4 linked regions of the Mus musculus genome follow. The protein of the gene in region 1 purifies or fractionates together with the protein of each later gene. This does not show direct contact. Links are inferred from orthologs where the notes say so. Each region holds a gene or a part of one and is shown on either strand. Other genes may lie near its edges.

Region 1 (4,325 bases):
AGTTTGGGATGTGAAAAATAGTTGAAAACTAGAACTAGACAAGAAATGAGAAGCATCATGTAAATTTGCTTTGAACTGGTTCCAAATTGTTTTATATTTAAGTTTTTCCCTTGACTGTGGAACTCTTCCCCAGAAACAAATAGTTCCTTTGCAAATCCTGTGTGTTTTTGTGAACACTAGACAGAGGCCCTCAAATGCTCCTAGTAAGGTTGGTGCAAGAACATCAAATGTTTGTAACTGGGAAGTGATGTTGTACACCTGGGAGAGGAGATCCAATGATGGATAATCAGATAGGATATCTTTGAGCTAGGAACTGTAACTTGGTGATAGACACCCTAGGGTTCCATCTCCAGCACCCCATATCCCATTACAAAATAATTCTTTTTCCATCTCTAGCATTAAAAAACAAAACAAAGAAGTTCTTCTTTCCTCTGAGAAACACTTCTGTGTGCCTGCTCTGAGAGGCATTTAAAAATGGCCAGGGCTTTAATCCCAGCAGGTCCAGGTCGGATTCCTGTGAATTTGAAGTCAGCCTGGTCTACTACCTATTCCAGGGCAGCCAGGGCTAAAAAAGAGAGACCTTGTCTCAATAACAAAACAATGCTGGTATGATCGCTAGAATTGCAGCAAAGAAAGGGATGTAACTAACAAGGCAAGCCATTTTTGAGAAGCAGTGATTTCACAAGTGTTAGGGATGGGCGCTGGGAGATTGCTGATGCTGGTATTTAGATGAGACCATGTGGGGTGGATTAGATTATTTTCAGGTTTCTCATGTTCAATCAAATGGCTGTACATACACATGTACACATACAATCTTTTTAGTGTAACAAACCTAGAATCAAAGTAAAGCTAACTGTAGGATTGAAGCATATTCTGAACTGAACCCTTAGGGGTGTGAAGGCCGCTTCAGGTTTCCAGAGAATCAACCGGCATTGGATGGAATAAACCAAGGGGCCAGCCCAGGGGCAGATCGGTCGAGCTCTCCGCTACTGAGCTAAGCCCTTGGGTTCTAGAGCCGGGAAGGGTCCCCAACATTGTGTTCCTCTCCCAGCCAGGAGAGCATGGGCTGCGGGAGGCGAACAGAAGGATAGCGGGGCTGACGTCGGGAGGTGGCCTCCGTGGGAAGGGACACCCGGATCTTGACACAGCCTTGGCAGCGGAGTAAGGAAGAGTAGGGATAGATTCTGGCCGCCCTCTTGGCCAGCTTCTCGCCGCCCCACCCTCCGCTAGGGCCAAGAGTAATTCATACAAAAGGAGGGATCGCCTTCGCCTGGGGAAGTCCCAGGGACCGTCGCTAAATTCTCATAACCCATAATCCCGGTACCCGCCCCACCACAGTGCGAGGAGCATGCGCTCAGGGCTGAGCGCGGGGAGAGCAGAGCACACAAGCTCATAGACCCTGGTCGTGGGGGGAGGGGCGCACTGAGCGGGGGGGGGGGGGGTGATGGGGGGGAGGACCGGGGAGCTGGCGCGGGGCAAACTGGGAAAGCGGTGTCGTGTGCTGGCTCCGCCCTCTTCCCGAGGGTGGGGGAGAACGGTATATAAGTGCGGCAGTCGCCTTGGACGTTCTTTTTCGCAACGGGTTTGCCGTCAGAACGCAGGTGAGGGGCGGGTGTGGCTTCCGCGGGCCGCCGAGCTGGAGGTCCTGCTCCGAGCGGGCCGGGCCCCGCTGTCGTCGGCGGGGATTAGCTGCGAGCATTCCCGCTTCGAGTTGCGGGCGGCGCGGGAGGCAGAGTGCGAGGCCTAGCGGCAACCCCGTAGCCTCGCCTCGTGTCCGGCTTGAGGCCTAGCGTGGTGTCCGCGCCGCCGCCGCGTGCTACTCCGGCCGCACTCTGGTCTTTTTTTTTTTGTTGTTGTTGTTGCCCTGCTGCCTTCGATTGCCGTTCAGCAATAGGGGCTAACAAAGGGAGGGTGCGGGGCTTGCTCGCCCGGAGCCCGGAGAGGTCATGGTTGGGGAGGAATGGAGGGACAGGAGTGGCGGCTGGGGCCCGCCCGCCTTCGGAGCACATGTCCGACGCCACCTGGATGGGGCGAGGCCTGGGGTTTTTCCCGAAGCAACCAGGCTGGGGTTAGCGTGCCGAGGCCATGTGGCCCCAGCACCCGGCACGATCTGGCTTGGCGGCGCCGCGTTGCCCTGCCTCCCTAACTAGGGTGAGGCCATCCCGTCCGGCACCAGTTGCGTGCGTGGAAAGATGGCCGCTCCCGGGCCCTGTTGCAAGGAGCTCAAAATGGAGGACGCGGCAGCCCGGTGGAGCGGGCGGGTGAGTCACCCACACAAAGGAAGAGGGCCTGGTCCCTCACCGGCTGCTGCTTCCTGTGACCCCGTGGTCCTATCGGCCGCAATAGTCACCTCGGGCTTTTGAGCACGGCTAGTCGCGGCGGGGGGAGGGGATGTAATGGCGTTGGAGTTTGTTCACATTTGGTGGGTGGAGACTAGTCAGGCCAGCCTGGCGCTGGAAGTCATTTTTGGAATTTGTCCCCTTGAGTTTTGAGCGGAGCTAATTCTCGGGCTTCTTAGCGGTTCAAAGGTATCTTTTAAACCCTTTTTTAGGTGTTGTGAAAACCACCGCTAATTCAAAGCAAAAATGGGAAAGGAAAAGACTCACATCAACATCGTCGTAATCGGACACGTAGATTCCGGCAAGTCCACCACAACCGGCCACCTGATCTACAAATGTGGTGGAATCGACAAGCGAACCATCGAAAAGTTTGAGAAGGAGGCTGCTGAGGCAAGTATAAGGCAAAAGGAGGGATGGGAATTCTTTAAGCAGGGAGTAGAACCTAGGTCTTGGGTGTACTAATTAGAAGTCACTTTGCAGATGGGAAAGGGCTCCTTCAAGTACGCCTGGGTCTTAGACAAACTGAAAGCTGAGCGTGAGCGTGGTATCACTATTGACATCTCCCTGTGGAAATTCGAGACCAGCAAATACTATGTGACCATCATTGATGCCCCAGGACACAGAGACTTCATCAAAAACATGATTACAGGCACATCCCAGGTGTGTAAAATTTACCCATTCCTGACTCAGGATATTTTTTAGTGGGGTGCTTTCTCTGAGATAATGGTATATGATTGTCTTGTTTCTTACAGGCTGACTGTGCTGTCCTGATTGTTGCTGCTGGTGTTGGTGAATTTGAAGCTGGTATCTCCAAGAACGGGCAGACCCGCGAGCATGCTCTTCTGGCTTACACCCTGGGTGTGAAACAGCTGATTGTTGGTGTCAACAAAATGGATTCCACCGAGCCACCATACAGTCAGAAGAGATACGAGGAAATCGTTAAGGAAGTCAGCACCTACATTAAGAAAATTGGCTACAACCCTGACACAGTAGCATTTGTGCCAATTTCTGGTTGGAATGGTGACAACATGCTGGAGCCAAGTGCTAATGTAAGTGACTTTTAAGGTAGTTGAATGGAGAAAGCCGCAATAAGTAAGGAGGTTATAATTGACTGCCTGTGTTTTAGATGCCTTGGTTCAAGGGATGGAAAGTCACCCGCAAAGATGGCAGTGCCAGTGGCACCACGCTGCTGGAAGCTTTGGATTGTATCCTACCACCAACTCGTCCAACTGACAAGCCCCTGCGACTGCCCCTCCAGGATGTCTATAAAATTGGAGGTAAGTAGAATATTAAGTAGAATGTTGACGTGAATTTGAAGTCTTATGTTTTGTGTATTAAATACTTATACAAAACAATACTATTTTAGGCATTGGCACTGTCCCTGTGGGCCGAGTGGAGACTGGTGTTCTCAAGCCTGGCATGGTGGTTACCTTTGCTCCAGTCAATGTAACAACTGAAGTCAAGTCTGTTGAAATGCACCATGAAGCTTTGAGTGAAGCTCTTCCTGGGGACAATGTGGGCTTCAATGTAAAGAACGTGTCGGTCAAAGATGTTAGACGAGGCAATGTTGCTGGTGACAGCAAAAACGACCCACCAATGGAAGCAGCTGGCTTCACTGCTCAGGTGACACATTTTTAAGATAGGTGGCTAGATTGGTTGTGTGTGCAGAATCACAAGGCAAGACTTAAATACACGCTGTTTTTCTTAGGTGATTATCCTGAACCATCCAGGCCAAATCAGTGCTGGCTACGCTCCTGTTCTGGATTGTCACACAGCCCACATAGCATGCAAGTTTGCTGAGCTTAAAGAAAAGATCGATCGTCGTTCTGGTAAGAAGCTGGAAGATGGCCCCAAGTTCCTGAAGTCTGGCGATGCTGCCATTGTTGATATGGTCCCTGGCAAGCCCATGTGTGTTGAGAGCTTCTCTGACTACCCTCCACTTGGTAAGCCTGATCTGAGTCTGCTACACTGAACATCAAGTTTGTA
Region 2 (4,083 bases), on another chromosome or scaffold:
TGAATCTTAATATCTGTCTTTCAATGTTTTTCTTGGTGACCCCCGTGAAAGGGTCATTTCCATCCCCTCAGAAGGGTCCTGACCTGGGCAAGGTTAAGAGCCACTACTCCACCTGTCCACGACCTTCCCAGACTCAAGCCACTGACCACCAGGTCTCAGGCTCCTTCCTTCCTCATTCACAAGGTCACTATAAATAGTTCTCCTGGGTGTGGTACCATGCCCTTAACCCTAGGTCTCCGAAGGCAAGGCAGAGGGATCTGCCTTTAAAGCTTGCTAGTCTTCACAACCAGTCCCACTTCAGGTAAGGCTACATAGTTAAGACCCTGTCTTAAAGCAACAACAAAACTCTAGTCTGGCTGAAAGTTCAAGGAAGAGTACTTAGCATAGCATGCAGGAGGCCCCTGGATTATATACATTATAGGACTGGAGAGGTGAATGACACAGATCAGCGTTTGTAACACTGGCTGCTCTTAGAGAGTTTGGTTCCAGGAGCCCACATGGTGGTGCACAACAGTCCGTAAACCAAGTTATGACAACACCTCGTTACATGTCCCCAGATTCCTTGGCCACTAGGCACACAAGTGTACACACACACACACACACACACACACAAGCAAAACACTTATACACATAAAATAAAAATCGAATACACACAAGTATTTTGTGTGTGTGATTTATCCAACAAGTTATCACTAAACACTTAAGTTTATGAGTCCAAGGAAACATATCAGGCTCTAAAGTTAAAGGATTATATGAAACAAGACTGCCAGGTCTGGGCATCAATAGATTTCACCCAGGAAAACCACAAATGAGCGCAGGTCTGAAGTACTACCCCGCAGGAATGAGGCTCTCTGTTAGTCCATCCAGATATGAAGAAGCCAGTCACCATCTGCACTGTTCCTTCATTCCCCCACTGAAGTGACACTAGGCAGCCACCATGCACTCCCTACCCTGCAGGGGCAGAGCTTTCAGTTAAGGCAGACACAGGTCTACCCTGGAAGGACTCACAGAAACAATCTGGTGTGTCATCTGTCCTCTCCCTGCCTCTCCTTCAACTTCAAGCCTCCTCTGACTCCTCCCAGCAACTGTCATCTCTCCCCAGTCTTCCCTACAGTTCAACATAAAACCGCTCACATCCTGCATCCCTGTCACACTTGCCAACCAGGGCCTTGTCAACCTCACCTAAGCCAGTGGCCCGTGCGAAGTGGGAAACTCAATTGGGAAAATGTCCCCACCAGACTGGCCTGTGGGTAAGCGTGTGGGGACGTTTTCTTAACTAATGATTATGTGGAGGGCCAGTCCATTGTAGGGGATACCACCCCTGGCAAAGCAGCCCTGGACGGTATAAAAGAGCAGGCTGAACAAGCTGTGGAAAGTGAGCCAGAAAGTATCGGTCCTGCACGGCCTCTTTTTGTTTCTGCTTCCAGTCACTGGTCTGACTTCCTTCAGTGATGGAGAGCTGTAACCTGAAACAATTCCTTTCTTTCCCAAGGCGCTTTTGGTCATGTTGTTTTAAACATGGCAACAGAAACCCAAAGACAGACTTGGGAATGCTTGGCACACCAGTGCGTTCGTTCCGAGCCATTCAGTTAGAGCGAGACCTAATTTAAAGACACACACACACACACACACACACACACACACACACTCCAAACGTAGTGAAAACAGCAAAACCACGCTCCACTCCCGGGCGCTCATGTATCACACCCCCGGAGGAAGGAAGAGATTTCATCATCTTGCATTCTCAGACATAGAAGACCAAGGCTCGAGAAAAAGTGTTCCCAAAGTTACTACACCAGGTGGCAGGCAGAGATGCGACCGCCTGACAACCGACTTTTTTCGTGGGATTCTTCCCAATCCTGTTTGTGTAGTCAGAATTTCTCCCTTTTTCTTCCCTCTCACCTGGGGATCCTGACCAGGACCTCGAAGTCCCAGGGCAGGCAGGGTCGCCCCGCAGGCAGCGGGTATGAGCTCCGTGTCAGCATAACTGACCCACTGCTGGACCAGGACAGCTGCCCGGCTGCCCCCGGGTCCCCCCAGGCCTGCAGGCCACAACAGCTGAGCTACAGCCGGGGCCCCCCACACCCACAGGCCGCCAGGTCCCTGCTCCAGGGCGGGCAGGCGAGGCGGAGGGAATGGAGTCCGGCTGCTCGGGGGAGGCTGCAAGCAGATGCGGGGGTGAGGGCCTCCCCACCCGGGACCGTCACCAGCTTCCCCGTATCGGGCAGCGATGAGGGCTCGGAGGCTGGGGAAGGCGTCGGGGTGAGGAGAGACGTAGAGGATGGACATGGCTGTGCAGGGTCCGAACGCGGTGCAGTGACCTGAGGAGAGACCCGGCAGATTGAGGAGGGGACCTGAGCACGTGCTGCAAGGTACGCAGGCGCCCGGCCGGACCCTAGGCCTGGCCGAGCAGCCGCCAGCAGCGCCTAGAGGAGGAGGCGGGACCCCGATCGCCCGCCCCCTCGGGTTGGAGAGGGGAGGCCGCGCCGCGTGTACGTACTGAAGGCGGCGATCACACTCGGCCGGCTACGGCCGCGGCCCCACAGGGCGGCCGGGGTGGAGGTGGCGGGCAGCGGAGGCAGCTCTCCCGCTGCGGGAGAACGCGGCCGGGACAGCGGCACCCACGTGTCCCCCCCTTTGTGACAGCGCACGTTTCCGGACTCGGGTCCTCGCAGGGCTGCCGGGCCCCGCCTGTGCGTGCGCGATCCCGAGGGTCCGTGCGCGGCCCACCGCTGCCGGACGGGTCAAGCAGGGGCCAGAGTGGCTCGTGCAGCACGGAGACGGGAACCCGCGTGCCGGGACGAGCCTGGGTCTGGGTCAGGCGCCGCCGCGGGCAGCCCGTGGCCCTCGGGTCAGGCGCCGCCGCGGGCAGCCCGGGGTCTTCGTGTCTAGAGCGCGGGAAAACGAAAGCCCTAGTGTCTGGAGTGCGTGCTTGGTCCCAGGTTTCCGCCTTTTGCAGGGCGAGCTGCAGAATCTCGGGCTGCTCCAAGTGAAAGACCCCACCATAAGGCTTAGCAAGTTAGCTGCAGTAACGCCATTTTGCAAGGCATGATAAAGTACCAGAGCTGAGTTCTCAAAAGTTACAAGGAAGTTTAGTTAAAGAATAAGGCTGAATAATACCGGGACAGGGGCCAAACAGGATATCTGTGGTCAAGCACCTGGGCCCCGGCTCAGGGCCAAGAACAGATGGTACTCAGATAAAGCGAAACCAGCAACAGTTTCTGGAAAGTCCCACCTCAGTTTCAGGTTCCCCAAATGACCGGGAAATACCCCAAGCCTTATTTAAACTAACCAATCAGCTCGCTTCTCGCTTCTGTACCCGCGCTTTTTGCCCCCCAGCCCTAGCCCTATAAGAAGGGTAAGTACTCCACACTCGGCGCGCCAGTCATCCGATAGACTGAGTCGCCCGGGTACCCGTGTTCCCAATAAAGCCTTTTGCTGTTGCATCCGAATCGTGGCCTCGCTGATCCTTGGGAGGGTCTCCTCAGAGTGATTGACTACCCAGCTTGGGGGTCTTTCACAAGCAGTGCCTGGCTGCTGGGAGCTGTTGCTGTAGGGAATGAAAGGTTGGTAATTCCCTGGCGTTGGTAAATGCACCGTGCGTTCCGCGTCTCTTGCTTGTATTTATCTTATGCTTTTAGAAAGCGTACTGATGGGGTGTGCTCAAGGCCATGTCAGGCTTTTGGTAACGGAGTGCACCGCCAGTTCGCGGAAGATCCTCGGATCTAACCCAGGTAAAACAGGAAAGGGGCTCTAGGTGCTGAGCGCTCACTGCCTGACATGGAGTCACGTGAAGGAAGGGCAGGGGACCCAAAGGCAGAAGCACTCCAGCTGGTCTACTAAAGCTCAAACCTAGAGGGAAAACATAAGTTCGCAGTGCTTTTGAGAGGCCACTGCTAGCCTGGCAGTGGTGGCGCATGCCTTTAATCCCAGCACTTATGAGTGTGAGGCAGAGGCAGGCGGATTTCTTGAGTTCGAGGACAGCCAGAGCTACACAGAGAAACCCTGTCTCGAAAAACCAAGAAAAAAAGAAGAAGAAAAGAAAGGGGGGTTGGGGGAGAAAGGCCTGTTGGGATAATCTCT
Region 3 (4,079 bases), on another chromosome or scaffold:
TCCAATAGATGACTGTGAGCATCCACTTCTGTATTTGCCAGGCACTGGCATAGCCTCATATGAGACAGCTATAACAGGGTCCCTTCAGCAAACTCTTTCTGGCATATGCAATAGTGTCCGGGTTTGGTGGCCTTCCTAATTTTTAACAAGGCCTATTTAGGTAGTCCAGGCTGGTCTTGAACTTGTCCCTGTCTAGCCTCAGCCTCTAGAGTAATGAGATTATAGAGGAATTCCACATTATGCTACTGTGCTTTCCTATTGGTTTTTCTGTTTTCATTGTCAGCAGACAGACTCTCACTGTGTAGATCCAGCTGCTTCCCCAGTTTTGGGATTAAAGCTGTCTAGACCATGTGTATACCATCCAACTTTCTGCATTATGATTAACTATTCATTTACCAGACAGAGCAACCTGAGCTGCCATGTGGGTGCTGGGAAACATACCAGGTCCTCTGCAAGAACAGCCACTGCTTTGAACCACTGACCTATTCCTCCCCAGTCCGTATTTGCTAGTTTTATAAACAACATTTAAAAACACAGAAATGAAAGCTTTGTAGTCCTCAAGCCCGACCATTTTGAGACTTCACCTTTTAGCATTGCTGATAGGCACTCAAGACATATTATACCTCTGGCGTTCTTCTTGTGTGCATCCATTTCAAATTCTACTTTCCCTCTCATGGTCCTACTAATCTGTATCATAGTGCCTGAAGAAGACTCGAATATTTGCTATCTAAAACACTCAGTCAGCACAACTCACTCTTATTTTTCTGTACCGAGGCTAGGACCACACATCTGTTGATGTACCAGTACATCATCTGTTGGTTCCAGTTTCATTTCTGTGGCTGTTGTTAAAAAACTGCGGCAAAACACAATTTACAGGAGGAAGGGCTTATCTGATGTCTTAGTCACTGTATGTATTCTTGCACAAAACATCATGACCAAGAAGCAAGTAGGGGGAGGAAAGGGTTTATTGAGCTTACACTTACACAATGCTGTTTATCACCAAAGAAAGTAAGGAAAGGGACTCGCACAGGGCAGGAACTTGGAGGTAGGAGCTCATGCAGTACCCATGGAGGCTGCTGCTTTCTGGATTGCTTCCCCTGGCTTGCTCAGTTCGCTTTCTTATAAAACCCAGAACTACCAGCCCAGGGATGACACAACCCACAATTGGCTGGGCCCTCCCGCCTTTGATCACTAATTGAGTAAGTGCCTTACAGCTGGATCTCGTGGAGGCATTTCCTTAAGTGAGGCTCCTATCTGTGTGATAAATTGAGCTTGTGTCAAATTGACACACAAACCCAGCCAGTACATTTGGCTTTTAATTCCAGGTTAAAACCCACGAGAGATGTCAAGGCAGCTAGTGAAATCCCACAGACAATCAAGAGCAAGAGGGACTTGCTTTCTTGCAGAGAAGGAAGGAGGGAGGCAAGCAGGCAGGCAGGCTAGGCACCATGTAAGCTGCTTGCTGGTTGGCAGAGTGGCTTATACTCATCTAGCTTATACTGTTCAGGATATCCCGCCTAGGGAATGGAGCAGCCATTAGTGGTTTGGATCTTCCTGCATCTCTTAGCAAGAAAAACAATCCTTTCCAGACATGTCCATAAGCCAATCTGTTCTAGGCAATTTTTTCACCTGATATCTTTTGACCAGGTGTTAAGCAGACAGTTAAAGCTAACCAGGTCAGTGTTATTCTGTTTTTGTTTTTAAATCCTGGCCTTAAACTACCTATACAGACCTGATTGGCCTTGGAACTCTGAGATCCTCCCGCCTGCACTATTTTCATCCGTGTACCCACTTGTCCATCTTCCCGGTTTAAAAAAAATTTTTTTTTCATTCTACATATACTACCTCTAGGGCAAAGCAGGACAACAAACCTTAATTCATATAACCAAAATATTCTTAGGATTCATATTGTTATGAGCCAGGAAAAAATATGAGAAGTGGGTTTAACAGGTACAATCCAAGGCCCTAAAGTGAATACCTTCTTTAAAATCAGACTTTTCCAGCTGAGTTTGCATGGAAAGTTTTTCCACTTACAGCAGTTGGGAGTTACATAACTTTTTGGAAGTCTCCCACTTAGCATTTTCTTTTCCTTAAAGGTTGGAAACACTTTACATACAGTAACCAGGGCAACCAGGAACAGCAAAAGCCGGAGGTGGTTCTATGTACAAAAGAAATTCTAAGATCCAAAGTTAAAAGGTGGAGCGGCGCGCATTTAGTCAACAGCAGCCCCTACTGCTGTCAATTAAAAAAAAACTTGGTCGGTTCTCGGACGTTCCCAACTCTTTGTTTTTTTGTTTTGTTTTTTTTTTTTTTTTTGCAAAAATCTTTGTTTCGGGAGAGAGAGAGTAGCAGGAGAAAATGAGAAGCACAAAACATACAAGCGGCTGGAAAGCCTCCCACGAGACGGGCGAGCTTTGCTTAGCGGGGTTAAATAAGCCGCGGCTTCGCAGTGCAACCATCTCAGCCCGCAGTCCACAAGGCGCTCGTCAATCTACCGCGCCGCTTACGCGAAGCACATGTGAGGTCCTCGCGGCGAGGCCATGTCAGGGCTCTCGGAACAGGGGGGGGCGAACTCAACCCGGGAAGCCCCGAAGGAAAGACCCCGGCTTCGGCGCGGCCTAGTCGCGGAGGAAGCCCGAGAGAGGTTCCAGCCACGGTTTTGACTAAGTTACTTCTGCGCCTCAGGCCAGGTCACAGCCCGAACAGTACGGGCAGAAAGGAAAAGATGTGTACTCCAGACCCTTCCGTATCGAGGACCCAAATCAACAACCCACCTGGTGAGCGCCATCTTCTTCCGCTTCTTCCTGCGCAGGCCACAACGTCGCCGGGCGAGTCTTGCCCGGGAACGAGGAACACAATGGAAAAATGCTCACTGCGCAGGCGCTCTGACCGAACGGCCCTCTGGGCCTTGTAGTTCTTTGAGAGAGACTTGTGACAGCCAGTCTGTTGAAAGTGCGTTAGCAACAACTACCTTAGCATACGAAATTCCTTACTTCTGTAGATTTTACAGGCTACAGGGTCTCTGTTTAACATGTCAGTAGTGATAATACAAAATATGATATAAAGCCTTATTTTGGGACGCTAATACTATTATCCAACTCTGCTTTAAGGCCGCTACACATAGTACTGCTTAAGAGTTTTGAATAGGATGCAAAGTCTGGCTGATCCCCCACTATAAGCCACCCTCCGTGCATATAGTTAATCGTTGTGTTAACAGTCATCTACTTTAAATTTTGCTTCACGAATGAATTATTTAAAAAACAGTGTGGGGTGTGGCAAATAAAGAAGATGCTAGAAATTAAGATCAATGAGCGTAGATTTAGTTCAGCTGATAATTTGGAGCTGAAGTAGGACTGAGACAGGTAAGAAAGACAATTATTTCTTTCTGAGATAGGGTTTTTCTGTGTAGTCCTGGCTGCCTTGGAACTTTTCCTATAGACCAAGCTGGTCATGATCTGACATCAGCTTGACACTGCCTCCTAAGTGTTAGGATCAAAGGTCTTTGCCACTGAATGCAGCTCAAGAAAGACAGTTCTTAGTCCAGCAGTTGAGGCACATGCCTTTAATCCCAGAGGTAGATCACTGTGAGTTCAAAGCCAGTCTGGTCTACAGAGCTAGTTCTAGGATGGCCAAGACTACACAAAGAAACCCTGTCTCAAAAGACTAAAACCAAACTGTCTTAGTGTACCCATTACTGTGAAAAGATGCCATGACTGAGGCAACTTTTATAAAGGAAAATATCACTTGTAGCTGGCTTAAATTTTCAGGGGTTCAGTTCATTATCATTATAGCAGCATCCAGGCAGACATAGTGCTGGAGAAGGAGCTGAGAGTTCAGCAAGCCAATTTGAAGGCAGTAAGGAGAGACTGCTTGTCTCACTCTGGGCAGAGCTTGAGTAGATATAGATCTCTTCAAAGTCCTACATCCACAGTGGCAAACCTCCTCCAACAATGCCATACCTCCTGAGAGTACCACACCTTGCACTAAGCATAAGTAAATCACCACGCCAAACAAACAAAAGGACTCTTCTTGCCACACACTGGTTTTCTATGGTAATGAGAGACTAAAGAGGCTACTGA
Region 4 (4,263 bases), on another chromosome or scaffold:
TTATCTTTCAAGCTTTTATTTAAGTGCACTGACTTAAGAATGATTTAAATCTTGTTAAAAGCAGCCACATCCATGGACTGTACGTAGTCCTCAAAAGCAGTAATTTGCTCTTCCAGCATATCCGTTCCAACCTTATCATCTTCAACTACACACTGTATTTGAAGCTTTTTAATTCCATATCCCACTGGAACCAATTTAGCTAAAAAAGAACATCAAGGGGTAAATGTTAGGAAATCCTTACGGGAAAACGCACAAATCCCTAAAACACAAGCATCACACTTACAGGAGCCCCACACCAGGCCATCTGCTTGAATGCTTCGGACACACTCCTCTAGTTTTGTCATGTCCGTCTCATCATCCCAAGGCTTCACGTCTAGTAGGATGGAAGACTTCGCAACAACTGCAGGCTCTAAGGAAGATTAAGAAGTGCACCTAAACACTCAACACTTTCACCATTAAGTCAAATCTCAAATTTGTTTTAAAACAGACCATCTTTTTGTCAAACACACACACAATTTGCCTTGTGTCTGTCACACATAATCCTCCTCCTGTGTGGCTAAGAAAGAGGCATTAAATTGTGTAACAGTTTCTTTCCCACAGAGGAATGCTACAACTGCTACCATAAAGACAGCTGTAGACCAGTAGCTGTGGAAGTTTTAAAATATTGACCCATTCAATTTAACTGGGGAAAATCCACTTTAGGGCAAGCACTGGACAAGCTCCTGAAATCAACACTACTAACAATGAAGATTACCCACTTTTAGCTTTCTTGGACTCATACTGTGCAAGGCGTTCTTCTCGTAGCTTCTTTGCTTCCTCACTTTCCTGTACAGAGAAAAGATGTTTCACAAAGTTGGTTATCTTCTGCTTAAATGTAGTGACAAGGTCATCACAAAACCCACCAGATTTATCAGAAAAAGCAAATCCATCAGGAGCTCAGCCGAAAGAAGGTGATTTGATTTTATTCATCATGTACCCAGTGATAAATTTTAAAAGGCAGACAATAAAGCCACGCCAGGATCCATCCAGGGAGTGGCTATGGCATCTGTCCTCAGGCTTCTCAATATGCTTGGATAAAGATGAAGTCATACCTCCTCATCATCAGATCCAAAGAGATCAATGTCGTCATCATCCTTAGCATCTGCAGCTCCACTTCCTGTGGTGTCTTCTACACTGCTAGGGCCATACTTGCCCAAAGATTTCTTCACTCCCGGCAGGCTTGAAAACAAACATTCTGCCACATTAGGTCAGTGTCAAAGCCCTTTCTAGGCAAAACACACAATCTTCCTTTCCCAGGAACTCCCACTCTCTTCTGGTTATTTAACCTTTAGCACAATCCCAGGCAAATAACTTTACTCTTCACCCATGGGAGACATTGTATTCAGTACTCACTACGGCTTACTCTTTCAGAATGAACATCTGTTTGAGATTTCATTAAGTATGCTCACTTCCATTCTTAGTGAACTGGAATCCACTTCCCCAAACTTCCACCCTTGCTGGTAGTTTCAGAAGAATGGCCAGGGACCGAATGAGCGAGCTACCCTCACACCCCAGCGGTGGCCCCCCCAGGTCCAAAGCACATGATCAGAGAGGTGTGGGAAAGGTGAACTGCGGTTGTCCATGTTCTACCTGTTCTGTGAGAAAATGGAGGACTTCAGTCTCTTGGCCTTGTAAGGTCACAAAGAAATTCAGCTCACACTAGGTCAGCAATGCTAAAGCCAACTTTAACCCGGTCCCTACTTTGCATGTGAAAATCCAGGTAGCACAAAGATACCTTTACCTGGCCTTTTCTTTTTCATACGACTTGATGTGATTATACCAACGTAGGGCATGACACAGGTCAGCAGGTGGTGGACCAGAAACTGCTTCAAATACTGCCACGTCTGCTTGTGATGGCACGTACCTGCCAGTGACACAAAAACAAGTGCACAGACCTTTAAAAGAAAAGACACAAACACTAGCTGGTAAATGACATAGCCCATATCCGTCAAGCTAACTAGTGAGAACAATTACAGGGCTAGCCTAAGTTGCTTCTCATTGAAAGGACACAGAACATGTTTGAATCTAGGCAAGCCCAAGAACTATCTGCCACCCAGGAGAACTCATCCCACCAGACTTGCCACAGGTTTCAACTAACAAACTAACTTGTCCAAAGACGCGGAAGAACCAGCTGGACGTGGGCACACGGAGAGCAAGCATCATCTCAATTATAATGCTGGCAGCCCCTCCCGGGAGGTCCCGCTCCATTGGCATCCCGGCCCCGGGAGCACTGACTCGGCGTCCCCCAGCATCCGGAGACCCGCTTCCTTCCCGCCGAGCCCGCGCCACGTGGCCCCGGCCCCCCAGCCTCTCGGCTCCTGCTCACCCCTCAATGTAGCTCTTGTCCGCCAGGTAATCGTTGAGCACCTGGAGGCCGGCAGGGGTTTTCAGGTCTCCGAATCCCATGGCGAAGGCTGGAACGGGGAGCTGTGCAAAAGCGGAGGACGAGAGCGCCGGGAGGCCGCGGCCAGCGCTGAGGGAAAAAAAGGACCCAGAGCGTCCGGAAAACTCCTTATATAGAGACGGAGGCGTTTCCCTCCGCCGCCCCGGCTAGAGGTTAAAGGTCAAGGTCCGTTCCTAGTCTCGGTCCTCCGCGTACCACTGCGACTTGGTAACTAAAGGGCCCACAGGTCGTCCGCCGGCCTTCCCTTGTCTTTGGAAGAAAATTAATAAAGGAGGCATTTTAAAATGCCTTCGCTCCAAGGACTCCGAAACGAAGGGAAACGCCCTCTGAGGAGCCGGAGTTGAACGAAAGCGCTCGGACGCAAGGCCTCGGCTACTTCCGGCGGAACTGCAGGTCCAAGTCGTCTTCTCCGCTTCCTCCCGGGCTCGCTCTCGGAAATTGCCGAACAGGTCCGAAGACGGGGAAAAACAGTCGAATCTGTGTTTCTAGTCCCTCCTGGCTTTCCGTCCTCCAGGTCGGGCTGACAGAGGTTGCCGTGGCCGCCATATTGACTTAGCGGCCAGGGTTTTGAGGGGTCAGGGAGACCCGGACAGGTCCGCGGAACTACTCGGTGGGCTCCGGAGGAAAGGTGAGGACGCGTTGAAGTGGGCAAGTTGAAGCGCTTCGAGTGGTGTTTTCTTTTTTGGCAGGTCTGCATCCCATAGGTCAGACAAGCCGTTCTCCTCTTGCCCTTGACTGGGTACCAGCTCCTGCCCCGCCACCTCTGGAACCCGGGAGAGCCGGCAGGTGAGGGTTATGAGCCTTGGTTTCTGGTCTGATGGAGCCTAAGCCGATCAGGAGACCTTTGGGAGTCCGGGCTTGCGAGCTACTCTCTCTTTGCAGGGGAAGACAGGAGATGGCCCTGTCATCAGGAGACCGGTTCATCTCCCAGGGTCACGAGAGACTTAAACCTCAGGCATCGGTTTAGTTGCTGTCTTGAACCTGTCCACGCTACTGTTTGTTTTTGTCTAGCCCGGTGATCATGTTGGGTAGTATTTTATTCATTCCACCGACGGGGAGAACTGACAAAAACTAAAAGTTAGCTCAGTCGGAGCTGGAGGGAGAGTCAAGCGGTTAAGAGTGCCTTGCAGAGAGGATCCGAGTTCGGTTCCCACTAGCCCAGTCAGAAGACTCCCAGCTGCCATGTAACCTTATCAGGGAATTCTCCACTCTCTTTTGGACTGTGAGCACCGGCACTTAGAAGTGCACATTACCCACACACAGATAAGCACATGCACACATAAACTAAAAATGAATCTTAAAAAGTTAGCCTGGAGTCCGCTGCAGATCAGGAAGCTGCGGTGTCTTCAAGTTTGTGAGGTTCATGTCTGTAAGACCAAACAGATTTCTGGGATCCACCCCCACCCCATCACTAAATCTAATATTCTAAGCCAGCTCATCAGCGCCTTTTAGAAAGTTACTTTTATAAGATACAGCCAAGATATTAGAGCCAGGGTGTGATGATGGTACCTGTCTGTAATTCCAGAAAGGGGAGGCTGAGATGTGAGGATTGAACGGAGAACTTTGTGTGTGATTAGGTAAGGACTCTACTAACTGAGCTACATCCCTGACTTGACTGGCTATTTTTGTTCCTATTTGGTAGATACTATGTCTAAAATACATATTAGAGCTGGGAAAGATCTTAGTTGGAAATGATGCTTGCCAATCCTGACATCCTGAGTTAGATCTCCAGGACCCACATTGATGGAAAGAAAGAACTGACTTTCAAAGGGTGTCCTTTAACTTTCACAGGCACCCGCCCCACCCACCTCCTTGTGTGT

What was found.
Region 2: the proteins of Eef1a1 (region 1) and Vars purify together in Homo sapiens (affinity purification with mass spectrometry; 3 studies listed by BioGRID and IntAct, counting the BioPlex papers as one, with this or other methods). This does not show direct contact. The link is inferred for Mus musculus from reciprocal best matches to the Homo sapiens genes EEF1A1 and VARS1.
Region 3: the proteins of Eef1a1 (region 1) and Snw1 purify together in Homo sapiens (affinity purification with mass spectrometry; 3 studies listed by BioGRID and IntAct, with this or other methods). This does not show direct contact. The link is inferred for Mus musculus from reciprocal best matches to the Homo sapiens genes EEF1A1 and SNW1.
Region 4: the proteins of Eef1a1 (region 1) and Eef1b2 purify together in Homo sapiens (affinity purification with mass spectrometry; 3 studies listed by BioGRID and IntAct, counting the BioPlex papers as one, with this or other methods). This does not show direct contact. The link is inferred for Mus musculus from reciprocal best matches to the Homo sapiens genes EEF1A1 and EEF1B2.

Annotation. Positions count from the first base shown.
Region 1 is NC_000075.6:78,478,915-78,483,239, reverse strand, and holds the start of Eef1a1 (elongation factor 1-alpha 1), read left to right. Parts: upstream 1-1,515; 5' UTR 1,516-1,601; intron 1,602-2,551; 5' UTR 2,552-2,585; coding exon 2,586-2,729; intron 2,730-2,819; coding exon 2,820-2,999; intron 3,000-3,091; coding exon 3,092-3,388; intron 3,389-3,465; coding exon 3,466-3,616; intron 3,617-3,705; coding exon 3,706-3,962; intron 3,963-4,047; coding exon 4,048-4,282; intron 4,283-4,325. UniProt on the Homo sapiens protein: Translation elongation factor that catalyzes the GTP-dependent binding of aminoacyl-tRNA (aa-tRNA) to the A-site of ribosomes during the elongation phase of protein synthesis.
Region 2 is NC_000083.6:34,999,650-35,003,732, reverse strand, and holds the start of Vars (valine--tRNA ligase), read right to left. Parts: upstream 2,827-4,083; 5' UTR 2,501-2,826; intron 2,471-2,500; exon of another isoform or gene 2,322-2,470; 5' UTR 2,290-2,321; coding exon 1,903-2,289; intron 1-1,902. Other genes in the region: D17H6S56E-5 (uncharacterized protein LOC110956), read left to right, coding at 3,632-3,734. UniProt on the Homo sapiens protein: Catalyzes the attachment of valine to tRNA(Val).
Region 3 is NC_000078.6:87,469,474-87,473,552, forward strand, and holds the start of Snw1 (SNW domain-containing protein 1), read right to left. Parts: upstream 2,827-4,079; 5' UTR 2,789-2,826; coding exon 2,775-2,788; intron 1-2,774. UniProt on the Homo sapiens protein: Involved in pre-mRNA splicing as component of the spliceosome. As a component of the minor spliceosome, involved in the splicing of U12-type introns in pre-mRNAs.
Region 4 is NC_000067.6:63,175,394-63,179,656, reverse strand, and holds the start of Eef1b2 (elongation factor 1-beta), read right to left. Parts: upstream 2,827-4,263; 5' UTR 2,446-2,826; coding exon 2,366-2,445; intron 1,904-2,365; coding exon 1,781-1,903; intron 1,219-1,780; coding exon 1,092-1,218; intron 981-1,091; exon of another isoform or gene 903-980; intron 826-902; coding exon 759-825; intron 635-758; exon of another isoform or gene 522-634; intron 410-521; coding exon 284-409; intron 200-283; coding exon 45-199; 3' UTR 1-44. UniProt on the Homo sapiens protein: Catalytic subunit of the guanine nucleotide exchange factor (GEF) (eEF1B subcomplex) of the eukaryotic elongation factor 1 complex (eEF1).